Linked DNA regions of Styela clava. The protein of the gene in region 2 purifies or fractionates together with the protein of the main gene of each other region. This does not show direct contact. Links are inferred from orthologs where the notes say so. Each region holds a gene or a part of one and is shown on either strand. Other genes may lie near its edges. The genes, in order: BRCA2 and CDKN1A-interacting protein-like and eukaryotic translation initiation factor 6.

Region 1 (7,707 bases), on a different chromosome or scaffold from region 2:
TATATTCTGCCATTATTACAATATCATTCCTTGTGTTGTAATCACTAATTATCTCCAAGCGACAATGGACTGTATCGGCCAAATTGCGTTAATTATGAACTGTTACGAGTATCAGACGGTGGACCGATTAAGTGATTATGTTGCATGTTCTCGTGTGTTAGGTTAAAATGCGTTTTTAGTTTCTTAAAGCCATAATTTTGGTTTCAATAAATAAACTGTCACAACAGTTTATTTCCAACCAGGAGAGACTGGCATTTATCGAAAGGTACAACACAAAGTTGCACCATTTGAAAGGACACAAAATTATGGGTTGAAGAGGTGCGATTAGATTTTTGTATATTTATTCCAGAGAGGACAGTAGAAAAATGGCTGAATGTCCAATTGCATTGCTCTCTCAATATTTATCAATCACACTAAATGAATTATATTCAAGCAAATTTTATCAGTTCAAGTTTCAAACATGGCCAGATAAAAAATTATGCTCTCTATTATCTCGTGACTAACATTTTGATTATCTTGTGACTGACATTAACATTTTGAAACACTGATATAACCCAGGTTGAGCGGGGTTTTTGAACCAGGAGGCCAAAAATTTTGCCTATTTAGACTGGCGGGCCATGTAAGTGTGACATGAAAAGTTATATTATATTATGAACATTAAATTTACAGTGTTCCAAACGCGTAACCCTAACTAAATTTAAACACAATCTCAACAAATTCCTTGAGCTAATTTTTTAGTAAAACAAGATTTGGTTTTTAGTTTGGTTGTGGCAATTGTCAAAACAGATTTGGGATTTCAATAACAACAACTACATAGTGCATGCATAATTGTTTGAATGCAGAAGTTTATGGCATCATCAGGCAGGCCAGATTTGGCCTGCGATCTGTAGTGTTTGCCAATGTCAGATCTAACCCTTAAAAGCCCCACCTTCAAAATCGACTTGAATTTCTTCATTAATTTCCATATTTTCATCTCCCTCTTGCTCCTCATCTGATCCCATATCTTCTACTATACATTCTTCATCACTACTTTCATCTTCAGGACGAGGCTTCTTTGGGTCTGCCATCTGTAAGAGGAAAGAGTCATAGTTTACTATATTAGCACAGAAAAATGGTCTTCTTCAGGTACTACCGTAGTGTGTGTGACAGGTAAGGGATAAATAGATAGGATAATTTGATTCGAAATTCCTCATTTTATTTCTATTTGGAGTTCTGTGACTGTCTGTGTTAGCCACACAATATTGGTAGGCTACACACACTTCTGAAGCACCCTTCTTCATACGGCAAAAATCGAGCCAAACTATTCAAGTACCTATACTGAAATGACAGACAAAAGTTCTCTTTAGAAGTAATCCTTCAAATAGCTTTTTTATCCACTCAGGCAAACGAGCACAATAAACAAAATATAAAAATTAAATGACGTACAAAATGGCAGTTGGACCTTCTATTCAGTGGATAGCATACCATAGTTGCAATATAAGGATGTCCAAAAGTTTTTGGATGATTTCATGGTAATACCAATTAATAATTTTATTTGTTCATTACGGTAATAGTTCTTGTAGCGGAATATGCTTGTGGTTCCCATTTATCATACAATAAAAGTGTTTTAAATTTCACTACTATAAAGTCAGGGGAAATTTTTTGGACATTATGTAAGAACACCAAAGACAAAATTAGGCAAAATGTCAGTGTGAATAATTAGAAACAAGTATGGCACAGACTGAATATAGCACACCAGGTCAAAAGGTGATTGAATTCCACATTTCGCCTCTTCCCTAATTTACATACCTTTTATGAAGTCTTGGATGTAGAAGAAGTCTCACTAGATCCAACCAATGTGAGTTTGCTGTTCTTACCTGCTTGTAAGACAATCTCCTTTTCTATTTTCTTATTAATTTCAACTTGAAGACCCTGAGAATTGAAATTAGGAATGTCACACAACTTGAAACCATTCGAGACAACACTGTTAGGGTAACAGCCAAGCAATTCCACAAAATAAGCCACAAACCAAAAAATAATGCTGTAAGTTCATAAGTTGGTCAAAGACAAATTATTGAATACAAAGTGGATCTTTAGATCGTTTTGTTATTATTGTTAGTATTTTTCGTCTTGTTGTATTTATTGTAGTTGTAAAATATCACTACCATATCGCTCCCTCCAGTCTTTACCACAAAACAGCGTCCATTTATTTGTATGTATCAATGCACGGCTTGCACGCCTTCACATTTACATTTCTTTTGGTTCGTAAATAAATAAATTTATCTACCTCTATCGGACCTATTGCTTTGAAATTTTTAGTGGTTAAAAACTGTTGTTTTCGATGGAAGGCTATTACTTCCATTTATTTCAAAAATTTCTATGGGGTTCGCTTTGGACTTTTAAGTTTTGTGTAATGACGTCATCAAAATTGAATATTACTCAAGTCGGGCGGGCCTGTGATCTCATCTCAGCGATCTGGTGGTCAGTCTACTGGTACCAAACAAGTATCAAAAGATACCCGGGCTCAGTAAAGTTATAGGTTGAGCCAAATTTTACAAAGTTACTGAAACTGTACTAATTGAGTGTTGAAATAGCATTATGAATTATAATGAAATACTACACTGAAAGTTATATGTGTTGTAGCTTTTAATTCACACTAAACATCGTACCTTTTTAAGCTGAGCAGATTGGATTGCCCTTGCTTTTTTAGGTTTTATCACTCTTCCTGAAAAACAGTAAAATCGTTATAGTTCCCTTTTTAAATAAAAATTGCTCAAATAAAAAAAAACACACAAATTCAACAAGATAATGTGCAGTGATTCAATAAAACACTGAATAAGATTCAAATCTGTATATATTTTTCAACCAGAGCGCCGCAGGAAAGGCAGGAGGATATAATCCGGTATAACTTCGCCTACCAGTTAGAAAAGCACCAGGCAAAACTGCGAAAGATTTAACGCAGCGACAAGAGCAAAGAACATGTATTTTTACCCAAGGTGTGCGCCTCTTCAAACATAAACTGTCGGGTCAGGATTTTATGCTTGATGGGGAAAACCTGAGTGTTGACAAGGCCCACAATAAATCTCTTGGCGGGCCGGGTTGGGGACAAAGGGCCACCTGTTGCCTGACATTGTACAAGTAAAATCCTCACCTCCCTTCTTTGGTCCTTTATTCTTTTTATGATTTACTTTCTTCTGTGAAGCTTTTGGTATTTTCACTTTTGTTTTGAGTTTACCTTGAGGCATCAGGCACAATAACGTGAATTAAGACTAAATTCTAGATCTGAACTAGAAATATAGCAGAAAGAAGAAAGGTTGAAATAAAGTAAACATATACAAGAGAAATAAACTAACAATGCAGCCATGGGTGGGTTAAGTGAATGATATAAATAAATTTTAATTCAAACTATTTCAGAAAAAGTTTTAAATGTTTGTCTTCTACAAATTACCAATTTTCGAGTCGTGAAGAAAAATTTTACTGGAAGTAAAATTAAATAACGATTTCCAATAAAGGAATAAAATTGCGAAAAAAATCCCAATAAATACACTCTACACATGCCTGGCATTTTATTGATCAACAAAAAGCATATGAAACAGTCCAGTCATTACTGTGAGCGGTTAATTATTAATTAATAATAATTATAGCGGCGTTGGCTTGGTCAAAGTGAAAAATGAAACATACTTCTTTGACAGGTGAGTGAGAAGACTTAAAACATTTTCATTCCCCATCTCCACAAATTTTGGGAAACAAAATAGAAAACAAAATCGAAACGAAAGATATATTATATAACGTTAGCAATACACAGTTAGGTAAACCGTTTTGACCGCTAGGAAATAGAGCCTGTGAAACATTGAATTGGAATACTTGTTTTTGAAAGAAGGAATCCAATTTTTACAAATACAAATATACTATAATATTACAAATACATTGTAAACTTAACTGTTATTAATAAAAATCAACAAAAACAAAACAATTTTTTTACGGTGTTAATAATACACACTACACAGTTAAGTCTGATCTAGCGTTTTAACGCAAGGCCATCAAACTGTCAAAGCTATTACGTGAAATTCATGATATTGAATAAAAGAATGAAAATTGACAAAGACAAATGGATAATACTCTCCAGCCTCTGCACCCAACAAAAATACATTGAAACTGTGTCATTACTGTGCAACAACGGACTATAAACAAAGTAAGCAATACCGTATTTTAGATATTACGGATTTCTTCTGAACTAGCAGTAGATGTTATGAAACACAAGAGAGTTCTTATTTACAGAATGTTGGAATAATCACAGTTTTAACATCGAATTCCATCCTCACCCAAGGCGAAATAAATTGGGCATGCATTTCTAAACCAAAAATATTAGAAGACTGAGTAGTAGTTAGTCTCGAAAAAACCCAATCGATAGCACAAAAATATTGTATCTATAAACAATAGTGGCCCAGACAAGTAGTACAGTTCCTTCTTTTGAATAAAAATTTGATTTATCTTAACATTGTCAATAAATTGCTTAATTTGGGTCTTATTCACACATAGGCACATCATACTATAAGACACAGTGACTTTCAAAGCATACCAGTACTGATTTCAAGTGGCAATAAAGCAATACATGATCCGAACATCTGGCGCACCAACTCATAAGGCACATGGTTAAATTTTATACTAAATTCTACATCCAAAACCATATATCACAATATTTCAGTGAAAAATTATCAATTTATTTATATTATTCAAAATATCCCAAAATTTCGCAAAACACAAATATTTAGATATGAGCATCCATAATTACATTGTACCAAATATTTTTCTCAAACAGTGGATCGAAGACAATTTTTAGTACTCTTGAAGTATGTGAACCAAGATAACGGACACCGGAACGTAGTATGTGTACCAGGTTAGGGTTGAGTCATAATTTTATTCCAATTTTCCATATTTTAGTTCTATTACGAATTAGGGGACTAGCCAAGTGACTCCAGTAGTATTTGTACCTAAAACTATGGCCTAACCCATGGTTCACATACTTCGGGAGTAACCATTTGTTTAAGTGAGCGTTGAGCTTATTAAAAATCAAAATATTTGTTAGATTATTATGTACACGTATTTTCAACAAGTTTCTGAATAAAACATACTTTCGCTTCACTATCTGTTATTTGTAGGTTATTGTTAGCTGGTTCTTGAGTTGGGGCACGGGACTTGACAAACCCTAAAAAGGGGGCGCGCTTAAAAAGTTTGAGAACCATCAAAAGGCATCAAAAATTCTCAACTTAGTCGGTTATCTCTAGAAATCGTTCCTGAACTGGCTCCTCGCTTAATTGCGTTTCCTTATTCACAAAGCTTTCTCCAAATTGTATTTTGACGTGTCTTTTCTCTTTTCTTTGCTGTTGTTTATAGATTAACGTGGAGATATCAGTGCATTGTATCTGAACATGTCTCTTTTCTTTCAGATGTGATTCGTACTTGAAGTATCTTCCAGTATCACTTTTAATGTAGACAGACACTTCTGCATTTGTTATCACTGCTAAACGTTTAGCCTGTGAATATGAATTAATAAAGAAATATTAAAACAGAATTGAGTATTCACATTGATTCTAATTTAGTTGAATTTATTCATTCTGTGGCCGCAATAGCCTAAAGCAGTGATTGGCAAACTGTTGGTCCCTAAGTATTTTCTAGTGGGCCCTTAATAAATCCTAATTCAATTCAAAAAGTTACACAAATCCAACAAACTGTTTTTTGTTCATATATCATATTTCGCCATAGGAAATCTTGCCATAAGAAACTTCGCCACATACTCACTATTTATTAGGAACATACCCTGACCCTAACTGTTTTGATCGCAAATACTTTCTTTACAGCAAAATGCTCTTGCGATTTTTCCTATGTGGCAAAATTTTATGTGGCGAGATTTCTCACAGCGAATTTTCCGAACATGAGAGTCGAATAATCAAATTGATTCTAATTTAATTGAATTTATTCATTCTGTGGTCGCTATGGCCTAACGCAGTAGTCTGCAAACTGTGAGTCGCCAAGCATTTTTTAGTGAGCCTCCAATAAATTTCAGTTGTAAGCAGTGATACACAGAAAAAGTTTCCTAAATCCAACATAATATATAAATTTTTTGCCAACTTTTTTTTGTTCATATATCAAATGATCATTCTGTTATCTGCAACAACAATATCAGGGTGAGTGAACAAGCTCTTTTGATGTCCAGATGCAACAGAATCAAGACATATCAAATTTGTTATTAGGCCTTGCAACTTTTCCCATTTCAATATTTGGGCCTCGCTTAAAAAACTTCGCCGACCGTTGGCCTAATGGTTAATAGCACTGTGTTGGCATCACACGTTAGAAAGATACAATTGGTTGAAATTTTTACATTCTACATTCTATTTAATGGCCAATGTGAAAAAATGAGAACAAGATAAGCGATATTTTTCCAGAGACTAGCAATATGGGATTAGCGTAAGAAAGGCAAGATGGGGTTCACTGTGAACTCGATTTTGATCCAGAAACTAGGGATATGGTTTTTTACAAAATGTCGAGTAGGCCTACTAATCCTCAATTCAATATTGGCCGTCCATGTGACGGATTTGTAGTTATGTTTTGAGCTAGGCATTCCACCCAGAGTAAAATAAATTGGTAGGCAATGACAAGAAGTGTCTGGCGCTTCCAAAGACTGTTAGTAAAGATTTACATATTTCAGTGGACGGCTGTACAGGACCTGGCCGAAGGAGTTGAGGAAATTGCATGAAATACCCTGCAACAATGAGAGCGGGTAACAATGTTCTAACACATAATTATCTCTTATCAACATCAATCACAGGACTCAACGCAACATAAACAGTAGCATAATACGGTTCGGGGTATACCATTTTATTCAGAATTTCATTATTTTAGTCTTATTTCGAGTTCGGGACTTCGTGTTAGCCGAGCAAATATACCCCCTGCCCATAGACTTCAGTCCCTTTACACAACTTGATGTAAAGTAGGCGAACAAAATTATTTACCGGTACCTCCATGTTGGTACACTCACTTCTGGAGCGCCCAAAATACACTAATCATCAAACTCGTAAATAATACACTAATCATCAAACTCGTGAATATGTATGAACATTTGTAGTTACTGTATGACTGATTTTCAACGTTACCTGGTTAAGCACAGTATTTTTTCTCCTAGAGAATGTTTTCTGTCGTAACCTTCTATTATGTTGATATGTTTCTTGTATAGGTCCAGAGTGATGAGGTTTTCTAGGCTTTTCGTTTGAATCAGACTCAATGTCAACTTCTTCAATTTCTGCTGATAAAAACATGAAAATAAGATGAAACAAGGACATCCAAAACCAGTTGAATGTTCAAATTGATTGGCAATTAGTTATATTAGGTTAGGCGTAGGCGCGTAGCCCACAGGTACCTCACAGAAGCGTGTATCTGAACCATTGTATTGGGAATATAAGCTTTATATTATACAGTAATTCAATTCCTCATTTTTTACTTGGAAGCATTTGGAGTAAAATGTCGAGCGACATTATATATTCACTACAGCACCATAATCATTGATTAAAGATTTTTGAGGGGACAACTACCTCATCTGGCGAAATACAGATTTGCAAAAACGAGAATTAAAACTATGATATGAGGGTTTCAAATTAATTTTAGAAATAGAATTAAAAAAAAATTATAAGTTGATAAGAATGTATTTTTTGTAAAGAGTAATACAAAACTTTA
Region 2 (6,159 bases):
TATCAGTTTCTATCAATTATTTTATCGTCCGATTACGAGATCATAAATATACTTATAAAATTAAGTCGCAAGACACTGGTAAATCCCATACCTGGCATTTGGCGGTAAAAGGACGAAAGATAGTGGTAAGCAGTCGGCTGTCCTTTCCCAAACGTGAAAATCCTATCCTGAATACTCACACCGTGATTAATATATGTCGGAATATGTTGATACGGTTGAAACTTCTTCACTCAAACATTTAATGTTGCCATGCATGTGATCCTTCCAAGTCGTTATTACATAAATAATAAGATACGGACCGCAACGCTGCAGAACAAAACTCAACTTAAACGCGTGGTTTTGTACAAAGACTTGTGATAGAACTAATCAAATAATAGCTATTAAGTTATTACTGCGAGCAGGTTTTCTACACGAAAAATCCACGCGATCGGATGCTTAGGACCATCTATGATTAACTCGCCAGTCTCCAGTGGAACATAGCTTATGACTAAAGCAGATCTCAAAGTGACAAAGAACAAATTCAATATCGAAAGTAAAAAGTGTCAAAATGTTCATTAACCCACTAAATTTCTTCATCCTTAAAGCACCGTCGCAGATAACAATACATCCCCAGTGACATATGTACAGTGTCTAGTACGGGACATTGTAAGACAACATAAGTGATCTGGTAATGCGAATTGTTGGTTCAGCCACCCAAGTCGCGGGTTGTGGCCCCTTACCCACTTCCCCTCCAGAATACATATAGAATCAAGTTTGGATGTTAATGCATGAATAACAAGAAACATATGGATTCACCAGAGTCTTTATTGAGCAATTGCTATCATTTTCAACTTTGAATAACACACAATCAACTTGGTCTACGTACCTATAGAAACCGTTACCAAGAAGGGGTTAGTTCGAGCTTGATCACTTAAATTTATGAATGTTCTCAAAAGTTCAATAATTGAAGTTACGATTTTATCTCCTGTAATTGTCAGTCAAATCATTACAAGCTGAATGCTTTCCAATTTATGATACATAGTACCTAATCGATCAATTTAAAATATGCGGCATTGCAATTTGAAATGCATTACAGATAAATCTTGAAAAAATAAGTCAACTACAATCTCATCCTAAAAGTTACTCAGACTTTTTATCAGTCCCAATCATATTATTACAGCCAAGGTCCAGGTATTTAAATTTTGCCAACAAATGCAACGAGCGTGGAACTTATCTGCTGTAGTATTATCCATACTGATTATCAAGATGCCCGGTGAAAATTGCATGTTTTGCATATATACAATTGGATTTACAATAGCCAGTGTATAAAATGCAGTGGCTCATAGACATTAGCTACTATACAATTGTGTCAATTAATGAATCTCTTATTTGTGTGGTGAGTGCACTACTTTGCTGATCACCAAGTTTGAAAACGCTGTCAATAACAGATAATTCTGTACTTGTTGTGTCAAGGCCACAAAAAGCAAACCAGTCATTCACAACCATACCACCTCCGATAACATCACTGCCTCGATTTACTGTGCCAGCCACAAGCGGGATTTGTAATAAAGATGATAATTCGTCTTGATCTCCAGATGAAGTTTTAGAATGTACCAGGCCACCTTGATTGGTGAAGCAACAATAACTCCCAACTAGAACCTGCGTCGCAACAGTTTGACGAAAAACTTCAACTTTCAATACATCTGCAAGTATTTCTTCAGTTTCTCTATCCAAATCTGGATGCACAAGCGCAACATAGTCATTGCATGAAATAACATTTCCCAAAGCAGATAATCTTTCTTCTACCCTTTGTATTTTCACTGAATCTGGAAGACAGTTTCTGATATGCTGTAATTCTTGATCTGTCGTTGAGTTAGGAACCATGAGTCCATGTTTGTTACCAACACACATCCGTCCGATGATTCTGCAGCCGGCAATAGATGCATGAACGACTGGTATGGTGTCAGACAATTCTGACTCAAAAACACTATAAAAATTCTCCGATCCGCCGATTGCCACTAAACAATAGGTATTTGTTAATTTGGCAAAAACTCCAACTTCGTTGTTTTTCTCAAATTGTGCACGAACTGCCATTGTTCCACTACTGTCGATTGATGAGATTTATTATACTTATTTATATTTAAAAGTTATAACAAGCTTTTTAAAAAAGAAACACATACACAACCTTCATACTAAAGAATATTCCACTGATAATTAGGATGGAAGGACAATGTACCTATATCAGTATATATTAGAGATGAGTATCATAAAAACTTTTTATTACTATGGATCAAGAAATTGAAAGCGTGTATTACTGAGCATCCTGTGTAAGGAATCCATTTTGAAATTATACTATTTTCAGGGAAGCCCAAAACCTTAAAAGGTAAGATAAGTAGTGACATTGGGAAATTTGGTCTTACTGTTGCAATATACAGATATAGATAAGATTTGAATATTCATCTCGTATATATTTAATTTTTAACTGAATGCACAATATATTGATGAACTAAGCTACAACTCGATACAGACAGACAGTGAAAGCCAATAACAGCAATATGTGTACTGGTATCGCCTATATCAGTATATATTTATGTTCTACCAAAAATGAATGCAGAGAATTACAGAATTATGCGCCATGAATCTCTGGCAGTTTTATAGTTACCAATACCATGGTTGGTTGATTTTAGAGGATTTGGATACTAGGTAACGCAAATAAGAGTCAATAAATTTTATTACTAGATTTGGTATTAAATAAGTTACCGGTAACTCTGTAACTAGACTATAACTTGAGAACTTAGGCTACCTACTGCAGTAGGACAGGTAGGGTGGGTTTTCATGGTCTGATGTCTGTAGTCTATAATATGGTCTGACGGTACGGTACCGGTAGACTACCGGTACCAGGTACTGTCAGACTGTGGTACGGTAATACATTACCGGTACCGGTAGTGTACCGGTAATAAGTCTGTAAGGTGAGGATTTATTTTATCACAGTTCAGTTAATTCTGTAATTGTCTATTCTGTCTAGCCTATTACAGTATTATGGAAACTAATACCAGAATACCCGTACTGTAATAGACAACTTTAATATTACAATTTGGCCGGATACCGGTACCGGTACCGGTACCGTATGCCAATCCAACCATGTACCCGCACCGCACTACAGTCACCACGACCCACCACTTCCCAAAATTATTTGTTCGAAAGTTCCGCAGTGGCTTAACCACGCTCAACCTATACCGGGTATATTTCTGTAGGTAGAAATCACATGAAAGCACAGGTAGCCAAATTCATATTTGCAATCCCAGAATACCACACCGTACCGTAAAAGCGCCTAACTTCGGACAAAATTACTATATTTTCGTCAATAACTCGGCCATTTATTGTCCAAACGGTACCAAAATTGCTCGGTAAAACATTCGTGCGGTAATTTACATTTCCTGCAAATTTCGGTTCAATTGGACTATTTTTACTATTGAAATAATCGATATTTCTTGCCATCTGACCGTTATCCTTCACTGCCCTAACTTCGGACAGTCATTTTCGTCACTGCGTAACCGCGACGCACAGAGAGAAAGAGGCTTCCGATGCGGATAGCGTAATCACGTCGTTGCGTGAAGATAAGACGCTCGATCGTCGTCGTAACGTAACATTGACGTCACGACGAAAATGCATTATTTGAAACTTCCGTCGTCCTATGTTTACATCTTTCGTTCGTTATTTTCGATACTTCAGATGAGTATAATAACACGTTAGTCATTTTAATCAGGAAATGCATACGTAAATATATCTGATGCAAACCGTTTCAATCCACAATGAAGTATTTTAACGGGCTTCTATCGAAGTCTTTGAAGTATTAATATTCTCGACGGATAGCTTGGTATATTCTGCGCGGTTATCTTTATAAGTGATAATTTATATCAAACACACGGTGAATCCGATTGTAAAGTTTAATTTGAAGTTCAACTTAATTTCGTTAACATATAATTCCCGTTTATTTGTTAGAGATTAAATTAATTTGTAACTTCGAGTGAATAAAATTCACCCAGGCCGTATTCAATAACTGTCATTTCGACTACTAATCATAAAATAATTGTTAAGTCAGTACACTGTGCCATACGGACGTTTGATTCTTTACAGTTTTATATATTCGATTTTTAACGTCATCGATTAAGTATGACATGTATTTTCATTAATGTAATTTTGGCATATATTCACACATGGACCGAACAAAATACAAAAATATTACATTTGGAACGCCGTCTTTATCTTAACGAAAATTGTCATATTGGCGCCGTTGTGTCTGGCGTCAAAATTCATTTCCGCGACGCAGTGTGACGTCGTGTCGGAAGTGAGCGAAAAAAAAATCTACGTGAGGTTGACGTAACTTTTGACGCTGCGTGAAATCTTAATATTCTTACGGAATTTATAATTCAGAATTTTAGGTTTTATTCAAATCTCGTACGACATCTTGCGATCACTCAAATAAATTATATACATTGTTATCGCCCTCTACCGAATGATGGTATTTTGACGATGATAGCTTTAGTAGGAGCGACGCTCTGCGCCGTTGAATGACGGGCAGTCAATTTTCGGCAAAATTGCCGTTTTTGTACCAAAAAAATTATAATGCCACATTAAAAAGGATCAGAATAGATGTAGATATAACAGCGCTACCTATAATAATTGAAATTAGCAATATAGGGCGCGTTTTAGCCAAGATATGGCCGTTCAAAAATTTTGTCCGAAGTTAGGAACTGTCCGAAGTTAGGCGCTTTTACGGTACCTCACTAAGCAAACATTCTTGGTTGAGGCTGAAGCCAATGTGGTGCAATGGGGGTTCATGACCTAGGTGCTCGGAGTCAAATAGGATTATGTATGTATGTTTATTGGTCTCAAAAATGTAACAGTACCTGCATAATAAATAAACAGTAAAACAGAGAAGGGATACATGTTCAAGACCTTACTGGCGTAAGACACAGATGTGCGACATGTACCCCTAACAATTATAACAGCAGTTTAGGACCGCTGCGTTATACTAGGACAACAGACATAAAATAGACCAGGGCTACTCAACTAGTTTTACCGAATATTCGCATTCAAAATTTCAAAAATATTTGGGTCCGGTCTTTCCAGAAATTATATTTCGACATCCTTGAAAGCGCACTTCCTCGGCCGACTAATGGTTATTTTATTAGCTAATTAAGATCGTTTAAATATGGCGTTATAGTTGTTCGTTTCGTATATTTTTAAGTCTATAAAAGTGATTTTATAAAAGTAAACTTCAAAAGCGGAGCTGATGATCCTAAATAAAGAATTAGGCTCGGTCCAAATCGAATACCCTAAAGGTCCGGATGCGAAACGCGGTCCGCCAGTTGAGTAGCCCTCAAATAGACTACAGACATGGAATTGACTATACAAATAACAATACAAAGAGGTACGGCACAACGACGATATGTACAATAGTCAGTTTATGGCACGTCCATGTCCCAGTTTCCGGTGTGACAGGATGAAGAATTTAGGTTTATTTCGACTCCATAATCATTGTAAACAGGTAAAGGACGATAAAATATTGGATAAAACAAATAAAAAACTGATTACAGAATCATGAGAGGAAACATATCCTCGAGTAAGGTTAAAAACGTACAGAATTTCAATTGAATGGTGTTGCCAAAAGAAGTGGTACGTTTCACTCACCTGAAAATGTAAAATTAATCCACATACACTCACGCGCTCCCACACATCCATACATGCAACCGTAAATATATAATACAACCACAGAATTAAAATAAAAAAGAAAAATAAACTAAGGTAAACCACTCAGGAAAACAAAAAGAAAAACCAAAAAAAGATTATTTGCCACATCATATTAGTATTTTTTCTATTAATAACAACATCACATTATATAGATACAATATCACATAATACATTTATATAGACCCAATAACAATTGCATTTTAAATAAACGAGCACATGATAGTTTTCCACTTCACTTATGGGTTGACAGTTTGCCATTTTTAGTTGCAATAATCTTTTCACAGTTTATAGTATTTTTTTATCATATATAAAAATTGGCAAAATTGAGGCCTTTTATTACGCAGTTTACATTTGTATAAAAAATATTTAGCACACAATAAAACACAATTTAAACCCTGGTCTTGCCCTACCCCCAATAACATGTCT

What was found.
Region 1: the proteins of eukaryotic translation initiation factor 6 (region 2) and BRCA2 and CDKN1A-interacting protein-like purify together in Homo sapiens (affinity purification with mass spectrometry; 3 studies listed by BioGRID and IntAct, counting the BioPlex papers as one, with this or other methods). This does not show direct contact. The link is inferred for Styela clava from reciprocal best matches to the Homo sapiens genes EIF6 and BCCIP.

What each region holds. Positions count from the first base shown.
Region 1 is NC_135252.1:20,952,469-20,960,175, reverse strand, and holds the start of BRCA2 and CDKN1A-interacting protein-like, read right to left. Parts: upstream 3,269-7,707; 5' UTR 3,131-3,268; intron 2,705-3,130; 5' UTR 2,649-2,704; intron 1,912-2,648; 5' UTR 1,789-1,911; intron 1,068-1,788; coding exon 929-1,067; intron 1-928. Other genes in the region: uncharacterized protein LOC144411649, read right to left, coding at 5,247-5,513, 7,131-7,279. UniProt on the Homo sapiens protein: During interphase, required for microtubule organizing and anchoring activities. During mitosis, required for the organization and stabilization of the spindle pole.
Region 2 is NC_135258.1:18,963,000-18,969,158, forward strand, and holds eukaryotic translation initiation factor 6, read right to left. Parts: upstream 2,160-6,159; 5' UTR 2,074-2,159; coding exon 1,336-2,073; 3' UTR 787-1,335; downstream 1-786. UniProt on the Homo sapiens protein: Binds to the 60S ribosomal subunit and prevents its association with the 40S ribosomal subunit to form the 80S initiation complex in the cytoplasm. Behaves as a stimulatory translation initiation factor downstream insulin/growth factors.